Macaca fascicularis: one gene and its partners. The protein of the gene in region 1 interacts with the protein of each later gene in a biochemical or structural test. Links are inferred from orthologs where the notes say so. Each region holds a gene or a part of one and is shown in the gene's direction. Other genes may lie near its edges.

Evidence for each region.
Region 2: the proteins of CD244 (region 1) and SH2D1A interact in a biophysical measurement, tested with the Homo sapiens proteins (2 studies listed by IntAct). The link is inferred for Macaca fascicularis from reciprocal best matches to the Homo sapiens genes CD244 and SH2D1A.
Region 3: the proteins of CD244 (region 1) and INPP5D interact in a biophysical measurement, tested with the Homo sapiens proteins (2 studies listed by IntAct). The link is inferred for Macaca fascicularis from reciprocal best matches to the Homo sapiens genes CD244 and INPP5D.

Annotation. Positions count from the first base shown.
Region 1 is NC_088375.1:100,218,809-100,222,450, forward strand, and holds part of CD244 (natural killer cell receptor 2B4), read left to right. Parts: intron 1-453; coding exon 454-564; intron 565-985; coding exon 986-1,053; intron 1,054-3,220; coding exon 3,221-3,292; intron 3,293-3,642. UniProt on the Homo sapiens protein: Heterophilic receptor of the signaling lymphocytic activation molecule (SLAM) family; its ligand is CD48.
Region 2 is NC_088395.1:130,579,557-130,583,785, forward strand, and holds the start of SH2D1A (SH2 domain-containing protein 1A), read left to right. Parts: upstream 1-1,326; 5' UTR 1,327-1,406; coding exon 1,407-1,543; intron 1,544-4,229.
Region 3 is NC_088386.1:128,992,166-128,996,346, forward strand, and holds the start of INPP5D (phosphatidylinositol 3,4,5-trisphosphate 5-phosphatase 1), read left to right. Parts: upstream 1-1,278; 5' UTR 1,279-1,406; coding exon 1,407-1,549; intron 1,550-4,181. UniProt on the Homo sapiens protein: Phosphatidylinositol (PtdIns) phosphatase that specifically hydrolyzes the 5-phosphate of phosphatidylinositol-3,4,5-trisphosphate (PtdIns(3,4,5)P3) to produce PtdIns(3,4)P2, thereby negatively regulating the PI3K (phosphoinositide 3-kinase) pathways.

The DNA of each region.
Region 1 (3,642 bases):
TTTTTTCCTCTGAATATTCTGGATCCACAATTCATTAAATCTACAGTTGTGGAACTCAAAACTTTGGAGGGCCAACTGTATTAGATCATGTAATTAACCCCCATAGGTAGATAACGTTATCCCCTTTTACAGGTGAGAAAATCTGAGAGGCTCTGAGGTATCTTCCAAAAAGAAGATGACTTGAGAGGCCCAGAGAGGTTAAATAAATAGTGCAGAGCTCACAGAGTTAGAATTTGAGCCAGGCCTGTCTGCTATTAATATCCATGCTCTTGGCATCACTCAGAGGAGGTTACCCAAATGAGCAAAGAGAAAACCTTGATGGTGAGTTCACAGAGTGTGATCAACCACACCACAGAAAAGAGTGGGTTTTGAGGCAGCCCCTGCAGTAGGCAGATGGGAAGGAAGAAGAGAGTGAGCTGGCAGCTCAGACCTCATGCCTTCTGTATTCCTCAGAATTCAGATTTTGGCCGTTTTTGGTGATCATCGTGATTCTAAGCACACTGTTCCTTGGCACCCTTGTCTGCTTCTGTGTGTGGAGGAGAAAGAGGAAGGGGAAGCAATCAGGTGAGTGGAAGGTCCTTGGGGTGATGCTTCTGCCTGAGGCCTCGGATCCTGTGACTTGGTCCTGCCTCCAGTGGGATGTGTCTGGGAGCACAGCATCTCCTTTTCCTCAGCGAGCTTTGGTATATGCATATGCGTGGTGGCAGGGGGCATGCAGGCCGCCAGGCTTTCTCTCCTCGTTCATGCTTTCTGATCCCCAATGTGCAGATTTCCCTGCAGACAGCTGGTTTGGGAGGAAGCATGAGAGGGGCAGTTTGGTTGCTGCCTCTGTGCTCTTTGGGGTTCCTGGGAAGAGCACTAACCTGCCTCCTTTCTAGAACCTTCTTTAAGGTTTGGCCATTTGGGGTGGAGGTGGGGCCTGTTAGAAGCAAAAGCCCTTCTGAAAGTTTCTGCAGTTCTGCTCTTTGTTTTCTTCCTCCCTCAGAGACCTGTCCCAAGGAATTTTTGACAATTTATGAAGAGGTCAAGGATCTGAAAACCAGGAGAAATAAAGTATGTTGTCCCAGAGGCTGGGGTCGCTCTCAATTGGCTTGGAAAATGCTCTTTCAATGATGGTTATACAGAGAAGAGGGACAAAAAGGACTGAACAACTGTCTTCTTGATGTGACCCTCAGCCCTTCCCCAACTATCTTTTCTCCACTTGCTTCCTAGTTCTGGCAATGGAGGAAAAGAGGAAACAAAAGGAGCAGAGAAGATGAAAGGGAGGCTGAAGGGGCTTCTTGGTGCAATATTGCACCTGCTGAGAAGGGATGGAGCACAACAGAAATCAATGGCAGAGGCAGAGTGCTGCTGTGGTATTTGTTGTCTGACCACAAATTCTTTTTCCCAATGAGTCAGGGCTTGCATTCATGAGTCCCTTAATGGTGACACAGGCTGGGAAGTGTGACCAGCCAAAGCATAACAGTTTTGTAGCTGGCTCAATGGGCTGCATTCACAGCCTTTTGGGAGAAGAGGCCTGAGTGTGGCTGAGGTATTAGAGTAACCAGCCTGGCACAAAGCCCACCAGCCTGAGTGGGTTCCTCCAGGAGCCTCTCGCCTGCTCTCTGTGGCAGGCAGTGGCCAACTCTGCCCGTCATCCAAGAATTAGAAGAGGAGGAAATTGCAGAGGGCCTGCAGATGCCCCTGCTGCTGTGTCCTGCTCAGGGCTAATGTGGTGACAGGCCCAGGGGAAAGCTCTAATGGGGCCTACCAAACTGCTGGCAGGAAGTTGGGGGGTGAAGTGGGGCGGAAATGTCTTCTTTCCACTGCCCCCTGGCGCTTGGCTGCGGAGACCCAGCACCACGTAGCAAGCACATGTGGTGGGGCTCTTCCGCGCTGGCCACATACGTGAGGCCCTGTGCAGCCTCGCAGAGCAGGCAAGCATCCTCTCCTGGGTCTGGTTTCAGAGGCAGTTAGGGCAGTTCCCCACGCCTGTTTTGTTTTGTTTTGGCCCCAGCGGTGGCTATGGGAATGTGAAAAATAAAGCAGTGGCTATTGGAATGTGAAAAATAAAAGGGAACTTTGTTTGTCTCACTGCTACCAGACTCTGGTGCAAATTCCTGAGAGCATGTGAATCTACCCACAGCCAATGATGCGCGGGTGCTGCTTGCTACAAATAATCTGTTTTTCCAAAAAGAAGATGACTTGAGTTTAGGAGACCACAGGGGGAGAAACAACTTAGTGCAAAGGAAACATCTTGGGGATTCAGTCCTATTAGCTTACTTCTGACTCAAGAGCTCCTCCCTGTCTGGCCTCAGCCCTCTCTGGCCTCTCCCTATTGTCTCAGGGTTCCAATTTGAAGGCCTAAATCTCAAGTTTCATGTGGTCTCACTTTGAGACCCAGCTCTAATCTTTCTAGAAACACTTCAGATGAGTCTGGACAGGAGAGAAAAGCAACAAACTCTTGCAGTATTTTAAAACACAAATGAAGTTATTGACATTGTCAGATGCCCATGACTCTCCAGCCTCTAAGGACAGCTGACAGTTCTCTGCTCCTCTTAGCTTCTTCTTGCTTCCAGGAATTTAGCTTGCACCTTGCCTAATGAAACCTGCTGGGCTCCACTGGCTCCTATCCAACTGGCAATATGCTTTCAGTGGCCAGCAGCATGAAATACCTCCACCACCGATTTCCTAAGGGGCAAGAACAAGAAAAGGGAAGCAGGAAGCGCTGCTCCCTGCTCCCTGCTCCCTGCTTTGGCCCTTGGGTTCAGGGCTGTACCCAGCACTGTAGCTGCCCAGGGGGCTGGCTTGAGGTCACGGGCAAAGTGACACTGAAGATGATCTAGAGAGGGCTTACCTGTGTGTGGTCTTTGAAATGTTTAAACTTTCTGAATTCCAGTGCTCTGACATAAGGCTCAGATAACAGCCCTACTCAGAGCTTTGCAAGGAAGAGTTTCTAAGTCAGTAAAGGAAAGAAAGTGACAGCATTCTCTTTGGGCAGGGTTGCTGGAATCCCTCACACCTGGGTGGTTCTTTGCTCCTGATACTAATGGCTTCACCGGAACTGCTCTTCTTTCTGTCTTTCCCCATCCTGGGAGGATCAATGACTCTCCTCAGTCCTGCCACCTCCCTCCCAGGCTCCTGAAAGCCCCTCTTCTTTGTGCTGTTTTCCCCTGCTCAGTCTAAATCTGGACTGACCTAGCTGTCTGCTCACGTTACCCCATCCCTATTTCTTGTGCAGGAGCAGGAGCAGGAGCAGGAGCAGACTTTTCCTGGAGGGGGCAGCACCATCTACTCTATGATCCAGTCCCAGGTACCTCTCTAGTTTCTCTAGTCCATTCCATACCTATCTCTGGGGTTTCCTAGTGCCCCCCCCGAAACTCACACCCTTGAATGGCAGAATAAGACCTTAGTGCTCTTGGAATCCAGAAGATAGCTTGACTTCAGTTGCATTAACACATGATTTGAAAAGATCCATGTGACTGTGGAGCATCTTAACACAGCTGGGAAGCCTGATGTGGGCATTCCTTCTTCTTCCGCGTCTGGTAGAAGGTCTGGCCCAGATAAAGTCTATAGGAGCAGAAACCTGGTTAGGGGACTCAACTTCTGCTTTCTTGCCCTGCTGCTGCCTCTAGCACTTGGGGCTCTTGCACTTTTTATCCC
Region 2 (4,229 bases), on another chromosome or scaffold:
TGTTCTAAACCCTAGTAGATGAAGAGCAAATATCTGCCTTTGGTGCAGGTCAGCTCTGTACATCCAATCCATTGGTAAGCCACGTGAGGAATTAAGTGTCGTTCTCCCTATTGAGCTTCCAGGCTTGCCATATTCTCCAAGAACTACACACTGAAGTTGCAGAAAGCATATAATAGACGACATAGCTTCAGCTATTTAAGTTCCAATTTTAAAAGTACTTTACATAATCTAAAGGTACATGTATAAGACCATTCAGCTTCAGCAATAAATAAAGTCTTACTCTAGTGAAAATGCAGGAAGTTTTGGGGAAATATTACCTAGCACATTTTGAAATAGAAGCAATGCTTTATTTCAGAGAAGAAAATGCAGATTGAAAGGTTTTAAAATATTAAAGACAGTTTAGCATCAATTGAAGAAATAACATTTTCTAGAAACAACAGAGAATAAAAGTTACAATAATATTATCAACAACTTGCAAATGATTCAAAACAGATTTTATGGCCAAAATGCTGAAAGTTGGGCCCTATACACCAAAGGGCACATACAAATGCATATAAAGGCAAAGCACCAGTTAAATGATTCACAGTCTCATGTAAAGCCCATCAAATAGATAAATCTGGAAAATCTTTGGATGTACATTGTGACTTTTGTATCTCAACTAGCACTTTGGGACCTTGGACAAGGTGTTAGGAAAGAAATCAATATTTACTCAGGACCAAGACTTTCAAGATGACTGCGTGAGGTAGAAGGAAGAGGGAGAAGAAGAACTTGCCCAAAGTTCACTGTTCATCTACTATGTCCGATTCTGTGGGAGTCTTCATGGCCATGTTCAGTAATGATTTCATACTGACAGTACTGATAAAACCATCAGTGTTTTGTTCTCAGAGCTTTTGATCCTTTCATTTTGTTAGTATGTTTTTGCCCTACATGATGGGTCCACATACCGACAGAGACATGTACAACTTGCCTCTATCATCAACTCCTTACCGGCTAGTTGAGCTAAGTTATTCCTGGTGGCCTCTGAGTAAACTGCAAGAACAGAAGCATTACTAAGCATCCCTGTCTGAGTGCAAGGGTGTGTGTTGGCAGTACAGCCCCAATCTTGCAAAATCCTTCTTCCAATGTTCCTTCCCGCTCTGTATGAACCCTGTGTTGGGGGGCAGGAGATGGAAGCCCTTGGCAAGCTCGATTGAACTAAGCTACTAAATTGCTGAGCTCGTTTTAGTTGAAGTGTGAGAAGGAGGTTTAAGGCAAGTAGACAACATCCTGTTGTTTGGGTGCTTCTCTCTTTTTTGCACATCTGGCTGAACTGGGAGTCAGGTGGTTGACTTGTGCCTGGCTGCAGTAGCAGTGGCATCTCCCTTGTACACTTCTCCTCCTCGGCCTGCCCAAGAGTCCACCAGGCCATGGACGCAGTGGCTGTGTATCATGGCAAAATCAGCAGGGAAACAGGCGAGAAGCTCCTGCTTGCCACTGGGCTGGATGGCAGCTATTTGCTGAGGGACAGCGAGAGCGTGCCAGGAGTGTACTGCCTGTGTGTGCTGTGAGTATGATACAGTGGGCATGGGCCTGCTGAGGGTGTGGGCGGTGGGCAGCGGCAGCTGGGGCCAGGGTGGAGGCCGAGGCAGGCAGGGGCGCCGGCATTAGCAGCTCGCCGACGACGCCTCCATGGTCCGCCCTCAAGTCCAGCCCAGGGCCGTGGTGAAACACACTTTCGCCTGAGTCCCTCGCTGGGGATTTCATTCCCTGGGCCACCTGCTCTCCAGAAGGCCCTCACCAGAGCCTTTTGGGGCAGCCGCAGAGAATGCCCTTTCGGGTGCTGAAATGTGGTCTAGAGTTTACCTTCGCTCCAGGAAAGACCCAGGCTCCCCACTTCTATTTTGAACCCTATCGGGTGGTGCCCTGGGAGCCTTACTCTAGCTCTCTTTAAACGACTTTTGAAGTGTCATCCCAAAGGAAGGGCATGACATTCAGGGAGAGGAGACACATTAAGAAACAGAGTCAATTACTTTAAGAATGCAATGCCAGTAAAGTCGAGATGCTGAGAGAGGAGGGGGATGTGTATGAGTAAAATCACCTCTCTGGATCTGCTGATGTAGCATCCTTTAGAAAAGTAGTGGGGGGTGGGGAGGGGCAGGGGATTTCAGAAATAGGACCCTTCTTGATAAACGTTAGGACTCACAATAGTCTTAAAGGGAATGGAGGGAAAACACCCTTGTTATGATTCAGCTTTGCCATTTGCCTAGGCATGTCTCAGTCTAAGGCTTCATTTTGAATCAAATTCATCTGCGTCTTTGCTCCAGGGCTGCGGAGTCAGGCAGATCTGAGACTTTGTCCTGTGCTAGTCAGATGTTAGGCTTGTGACCTGGGCAAATTAACCTCTCAGTCCCCCAGTTTTCTTATCCATTGAATAGGTATCATATTACTGCCTACCTCATAGGATTGTAAGATTAAGTGCTATAATGCAGTAAAAAAATTAGCACTGGGGCCTGACACCTAGTAAATGTTCAATAAATGTAAGCTATTGGTATTGTCATTATACCAAAAATATATTGTTATTTTATCTTCTCTTTTCAGTTGATTTCTTTTAGGAATCATGGGGGCATTTCTAAGGAAGGACCTAGCTCAAGCATTATTGTCAGCAGGATAAAAAAAATCCATGAAAACAGCAGCCCTGCATAGTAGGTTCTAGACAGAAACCAAATGAGGTTAAATGCTTGGTAGTAAGTTCAGCATCTGATGATACCCCACAAGAGTTTGAAATACCTTATGGGTCAGTGAAGAAAGATTATCCTGATGCTGGTGCTAGAGGATTTTCACTGTATATTGGTTTTCAAAAATGGTCAAGCCTTGTTTGTGGCAGCTCTCAGGTCATGCTAAATACATTTTTCATAAAGGCTTCCAGGGAAATACGTGGAAGTTATTGAATGTCTTGGGCTTGAATCTTTATGTTTTGCTTATATAATTATGTTCCCGTGTGGAATCTAGGGAAGGGCAATGAAAATCAGCTAGGATTCTTAGGCTCTTTTCTCATTGAGAGAAGGTGGAGTGAGTGGGTGGGTGAAAGGCGCTGCTTTAGGGAAACTGACAAAGGAGATAATGTGCTCCTTAACCCAAAGGTGAAAAAGAACATACAAAACAAGTCTGGGCAGGGGAGGGACAACAGGGTATAGTGAGAGGCAAGATACACCTAAGACTTCAGCCTCACCAGGCTCCTGGCCGTTTCTCAAGCTCCTCAAAAATGCCCCCACTTAGGATTTCTGTGCTTATTGTTCCTTCTGCCAAAAATACCTTCAGTTCACATGTTTGTTCAACTGCCTCCTCCCTCAGAGAGGACTTGCTTGGCCACCTATCTAGAACAAGTGCCCTCTCTCTGTCCCTGATACACTCACTCCATCTCTTTATTTTTGTTCAAAGAGCTTTAAACTATTTGATAATTTGCCTGTTTACCTACTTATTGCTGGGCTGTCCTGCAAAAATATAATCTCCATGAGGGCGGAGACATTGTCTCCATCACCAGGAACACAGGAACACATAATAGGCACTCAGCAGATATTTTTGAATTAACAAACTGTTAAGGCAAATTCTATTCTTTACTGCAAGAAAAGGAATGAACATCGAGAGGTTAGGGTGTGGACCCTGGGAAAGTCACTCAAATTCTCTGGGCCTCAGTTTCCATATTTATAAAACAGGAATAGTAATGTGTATCCTACCTTCTGCAAAAGATTGCCTTAAGTACCATATACAAGAGAGAAGGACAACTTTAGCCTTTTTCCTATGTGGGCCAGAACCACATGAGGAATTAACTTAGGCAGGTGAGAAATTCTCAAGCATTTAAGTTTTTGCCCAAAGTGAATCTTGCATAAATGCTTTTTTTATGACTCTCAGTTCTCCATGAAAACTGCCTTGTGAAGTAGCGGAAAATACTAGACAAATTGGGAGTTCCCTTACGGTGTCTTTCAAATGGTACACTGGGGACTCAAAGTCTTATGAGACTGTTTGGGTGATAGCCAGAATGTACTGCAGAGGAAAGATATAAGGATACATTGCCTTTTATCAGTTTCTCAACGTTTTTGAGTTGAGTGTCCCTTTTGACAAATGTAAAAAATTCATTCCCTCTTTTTGGTGCTACACTGTAATTATAAAATCAAATTTTATTTAGAAATAAACCATGTACTCATTTTAAACCAAAACACTTATGCTTATGATATGTAGTCGAAATAACAATA
Region 3 (4,181 bases), on another chromosome or scaffold:
GAGCTACGTCCTTCAAATTAGACAAGAAGAAACCAAGGCCGAGAGAGAGAAGAAACTTGACCAGGTTCCCACAGCTTGAATGTGGTGGCGCTGCCTGGCTGGTGCCACTGCCTGGCTGGTGCCCCTTCCTGGAGGGGGTCTGTTGTCATGTCCTGGAGCCCAAGGCCTGGATGTGGGATGAGGGGACACTCCTTGTGCAGCGGGTCAACACCTGCCCCTTCAGCCTTGGTGGGCCTGACCCAAGGATGGAGGGTACCCAGGTCTGGGGGCTGAGGGATGGGTGTCCACTGCAGAGCCCTCAGAAATGACTGGTCCTGGATGGCAGTCCCTGGAGAGGCAGCTCCCCTTGGAGAGGTGGGCAAATGTGGCCATGCCCAGCCTTGGAGGAGGTACAGTCTGACCAGTCACCCCGACTGCTGAGATGCAGGACTCAGGACCCCGTGTTATCCTTGGCCAGGCGGCCAGCCTGCCCTGTGGGGCTTTGGGGTTCTCCTCTCCGAGCTTGTTTCCCCAGCATCCTGGAGAAGCCCAGAGAAAAAGTCAGCCTGTGTTCCCACTGTAAATGGTCCACATCCCCTCCAAGCTCCCTTTGTGTGTCTCCAAGCTGGACTGCAGGGATAAGAGCTGTGCTGCCCGTGCAGCATCCACCGGCCCCTGGGAATGAGGGGAATGCAGTCACAGAGCCGTCACTTGGACCTCGGCACCCTCGGCTGGTGGTGGCCAAGGTCTCCCAGCACCCAGGCCGCTGGGAGTCTCTAAAGGGGAGTGGTGGGGCTTGACTGTCCCCTCCCCCTCAAGTTTGCTCTGTCCTGGGCAGGCTGTAGTCCCAGTTGAGAAGCTGTGCCCCCTTGGGTGTTTTAGGGGTTCAGGATGGGCGTTGAAAAGCCCTGGGGGAGAGCAGAAGGCTCAGGGACCTGTCTAGGGCGTGGCATCCCATGTGGGCGTCAGCATGGCCGCAGAAGAACCACTCTTCAGGCCCACCCATGCCTGCTAGGCCATGCTTCTTCAGAAGTGGCCACGACTCTCCTGACGTCTCCAGAGCTGGTCATTCTGCCCAGTGGGACTTCAGCTGTCCCTGGACACTTCACTTGTAGGCTGCGACCTGTTGCCAGGAAGGAGAGGGCCGGTGAAGGAGCCGCAGTAGCCGTGGCGGGGTGTGGGGGACGGTGGATGGCCAGGGCTTCCCCCCGCCCTCTCTCGCTTGGTTTCTGTAATGAGGAAGTTCTCCGCCGCTCAGTTTCCTTTCCCTCGCTGAGCGCCTGAAACAGGAAGTCAGCCAGTTAAGCTGGTGGCAGCAGCCGAGGCCACCAAGAGGCAACAGGCGGCAGGTTACAGCAGAGGGGCCTCCGCTCCCCTCGGTGGCGTGTGGGTCCTGGGGTTGCCCGCTGGCCCGGCCGAGGAGGCCCATGCCCACCATGGTCCCCTGCTGGAACCACGGCAATATCACCCGCTCCAAGGCGGAGGAGCTGCTCTCCAGGACGGGCAAGGATGGGAGCTTCCTCGTGCGTGCCAGCGAGTCCATCTCCCGGGCATACGCGCTCTGCGTGCTGTGAGTACAACCTGCTCCGTCCCCGGGCACAGAGATGACAGAGAGGCTTAGAGGGGGCCCAGCACTGGGATGGGTTGTTCTTATGTCACAGGACAAAGTGATCTGCCATGCACACTTCCCCGCCACCCTGTCATGGACCTTGTCCTTGGACCTTGGCCTTGGAGTTCAGAGAGCTGGTCTCGTGGCAGATTTTGCAGCCTTGGAGCTGTCAGAACCACTCCGAGGCCTGATCTTACACCCCAGCTTCCCATGAGCTGTGTGGTGCCCGGGGCTTCCTTGAAGTCTGGGGAACGAGAGAACGAGTTTGGGCTTTTTGAACCAGGAGGAAGCTCAGGGCTCCTTGGAGGTGGGTGTGTTAGAGATCAGTTCAAAGATGCCCAGCTCAGAAACCCTGAGAAGAGCAAAGGTGGCAAGGGGGACCCTTCCTGGAGCACCCAGGCTTTGGGACCCTGGAGGCAGCTGTTGTTCGGCGAGCCAAGCATATGGGCTGAGTTTAATCAAGAAAGGACTTTCCGTTCGCTCACCACTACCACGAGCGAGCAGCCTCTTCTCTGTCTCCTGAGCACTCGGCTGTGACCGCTGCCCACCCCCACCCCTCAATTTGGGTCTCTGTCACCATCAACTCCTCCCACTGCCCGGCTGGGGATGTTACTGAATGTGCCAGCTGTGCTAGCAATGGAGGAACCAGCCACTTGCTGAAGGTTCCTTTCTAAAACCCCCTTCCTGTCCAGTGTCTGAAGGAGGCCCTTGCCCTGCAGCTCTTGGTCTAATCATTTTGCCGAGGCCTCGGGCAGTGCCAGGGTGTAGTCAGGGAAGGGTATGTCCACCCGAACATCTCCAGTAGCATCCCCGGGCTAGCAGAAATGTTCCCCCAAGCGGAGAGGGCCTTGCCCTTCTTCAGGCAGGAGGGGAAGTGGGTGATGAACCCAGACCTGTTTTGAATACTGACTCACAGCTGGGGCCTGCTGTGCTAAGCATTTGTTAGCCCATTTCATCCTCACCACAACCTGAAGTGAAGGTCCTGTCAAAAGCCCCACTTTGCAGATGAGAAATCTGAGGCCCTGGCAGTTAAGTGAGTGACAACAGTCAAAGCCATGGCCATCTGCCCCCAGAGGCTGCAGCTGAGACCAGCAGCCTGTGGCCCGACCTCTCCTGCTCCCAGTCTAGCGGGGCATGCATGTAGCCTTGTGGGGCTGGAGGCAGAAGCAAGGGCAGCCGGAGTGTTTACAGGGTCGGCTGGGGCACTGGAAGCCAACCCAGGCTCACAGCTGGTCGCTGGCCTGTGCTGACAGTCTGCAGCCCCACCTCCAAGACTGGCTTCCTGTGCCCCCTCTCTCATGCCTCAGGGGAAGGAACGCAGGCCCAGGCTGCCTGGACTTCCCCAGTGGGGACCTGCTGCTGCCGGGGCCTTAGAAGGGGCAGGAAGATTCTCTTAGGCATCTCACAAGCCCAGTCTGACTCCACCCGGCCCATGTGGATTATTTGGATTTCTCTCCTGGCCCAGTGGGATCTTGTCCTGGCTGCTTGGTGTTGGCTGAGCCGAGGGCTTCCAGGGCCCCATCTCATTAACCTTCAATGCAGCTCTTTGACCAGGGCTTTGTGGTTGCTCAAGTTACAGACATGGGATGTGGGTCTCTCTGACTCCAAGCTGTGAGCATCTTAATGTCTAGGATCAGCCTGAGCCAGAGTCAGAGCTGGAAAGGTCTTGGAAAAGCTCTGGTGCAACAGCCCTGGCTTTTCAGGGGGTAGACAGAGTGCAGAGAGCCTGAGGCCTTTGTCCACCATGCTGGCTGGGGGCAAAACTGCTGGCTTCCAGGCCAGTTCCCGTATTCCTTCCTCCACCTCTTCTCTCGGAACCCTTGTCTGCACTGAGTTACTCTCAGAGTCATGACAGGTGTGCAGTGTCTGCTCCTTAGAAAGGGACCTGTGGTGCCCACAGATGTCCACTATCCTCTTAGCCAAAGCCTCATCAGCCTCCTATCCTGAGGCTGCTGGGTTGCAAACACCAGGAGCCCCACCCCTTGGCCAGACAAACCCTGGGCTCAGGGTTCCCCTTTCTCCTCTGCTCAGCGTAGGAAGCTTCCGTTCCTGCAGGGTCAGGCTCCACTGTAGGCTGTGGGACGCGATGGACCTGTAGACTTTCCACACATCTGCAGGCTTCATGTGGCTGCTACCCTGGATTTTGCCAATTACGGAGATTTTAAAACTAAAAAGTAATTAAATGAATGATAACAAACTGTCATCCTCCAACATCTCATTTCTTGAAAGAAAGCAGCCTTTGACACCAAAAAAGGCAGGAAGGGCATACAAAAAAAAAAAAAAAAAAAAAAAAAGACCAGTCATTTAAAGCAAAGAGATTGAACTTCTTGAAAAACAAACCCCACCACCCCCTAGTTTTCTCTGTTCCCTGCGGAGTGGCCGCAGCCTGCTGGACATGGCAAAGGCAGGCAGCCCCAGGCTGAGGGGTGTGCAGGGCAGCTGGGTTTATCTGCAGCTGCAGAAGTAGCAGCATTTGCTCCCCAGCCCTGGAAACCTGGAGCCACCCTGCTCTAGAAGTGACTGCAGAAGGAAGCCACACGCGCACCCTCCTGCCCTAGCAAAGTCCATGGGAAAAGTATACATGCCCCATGGC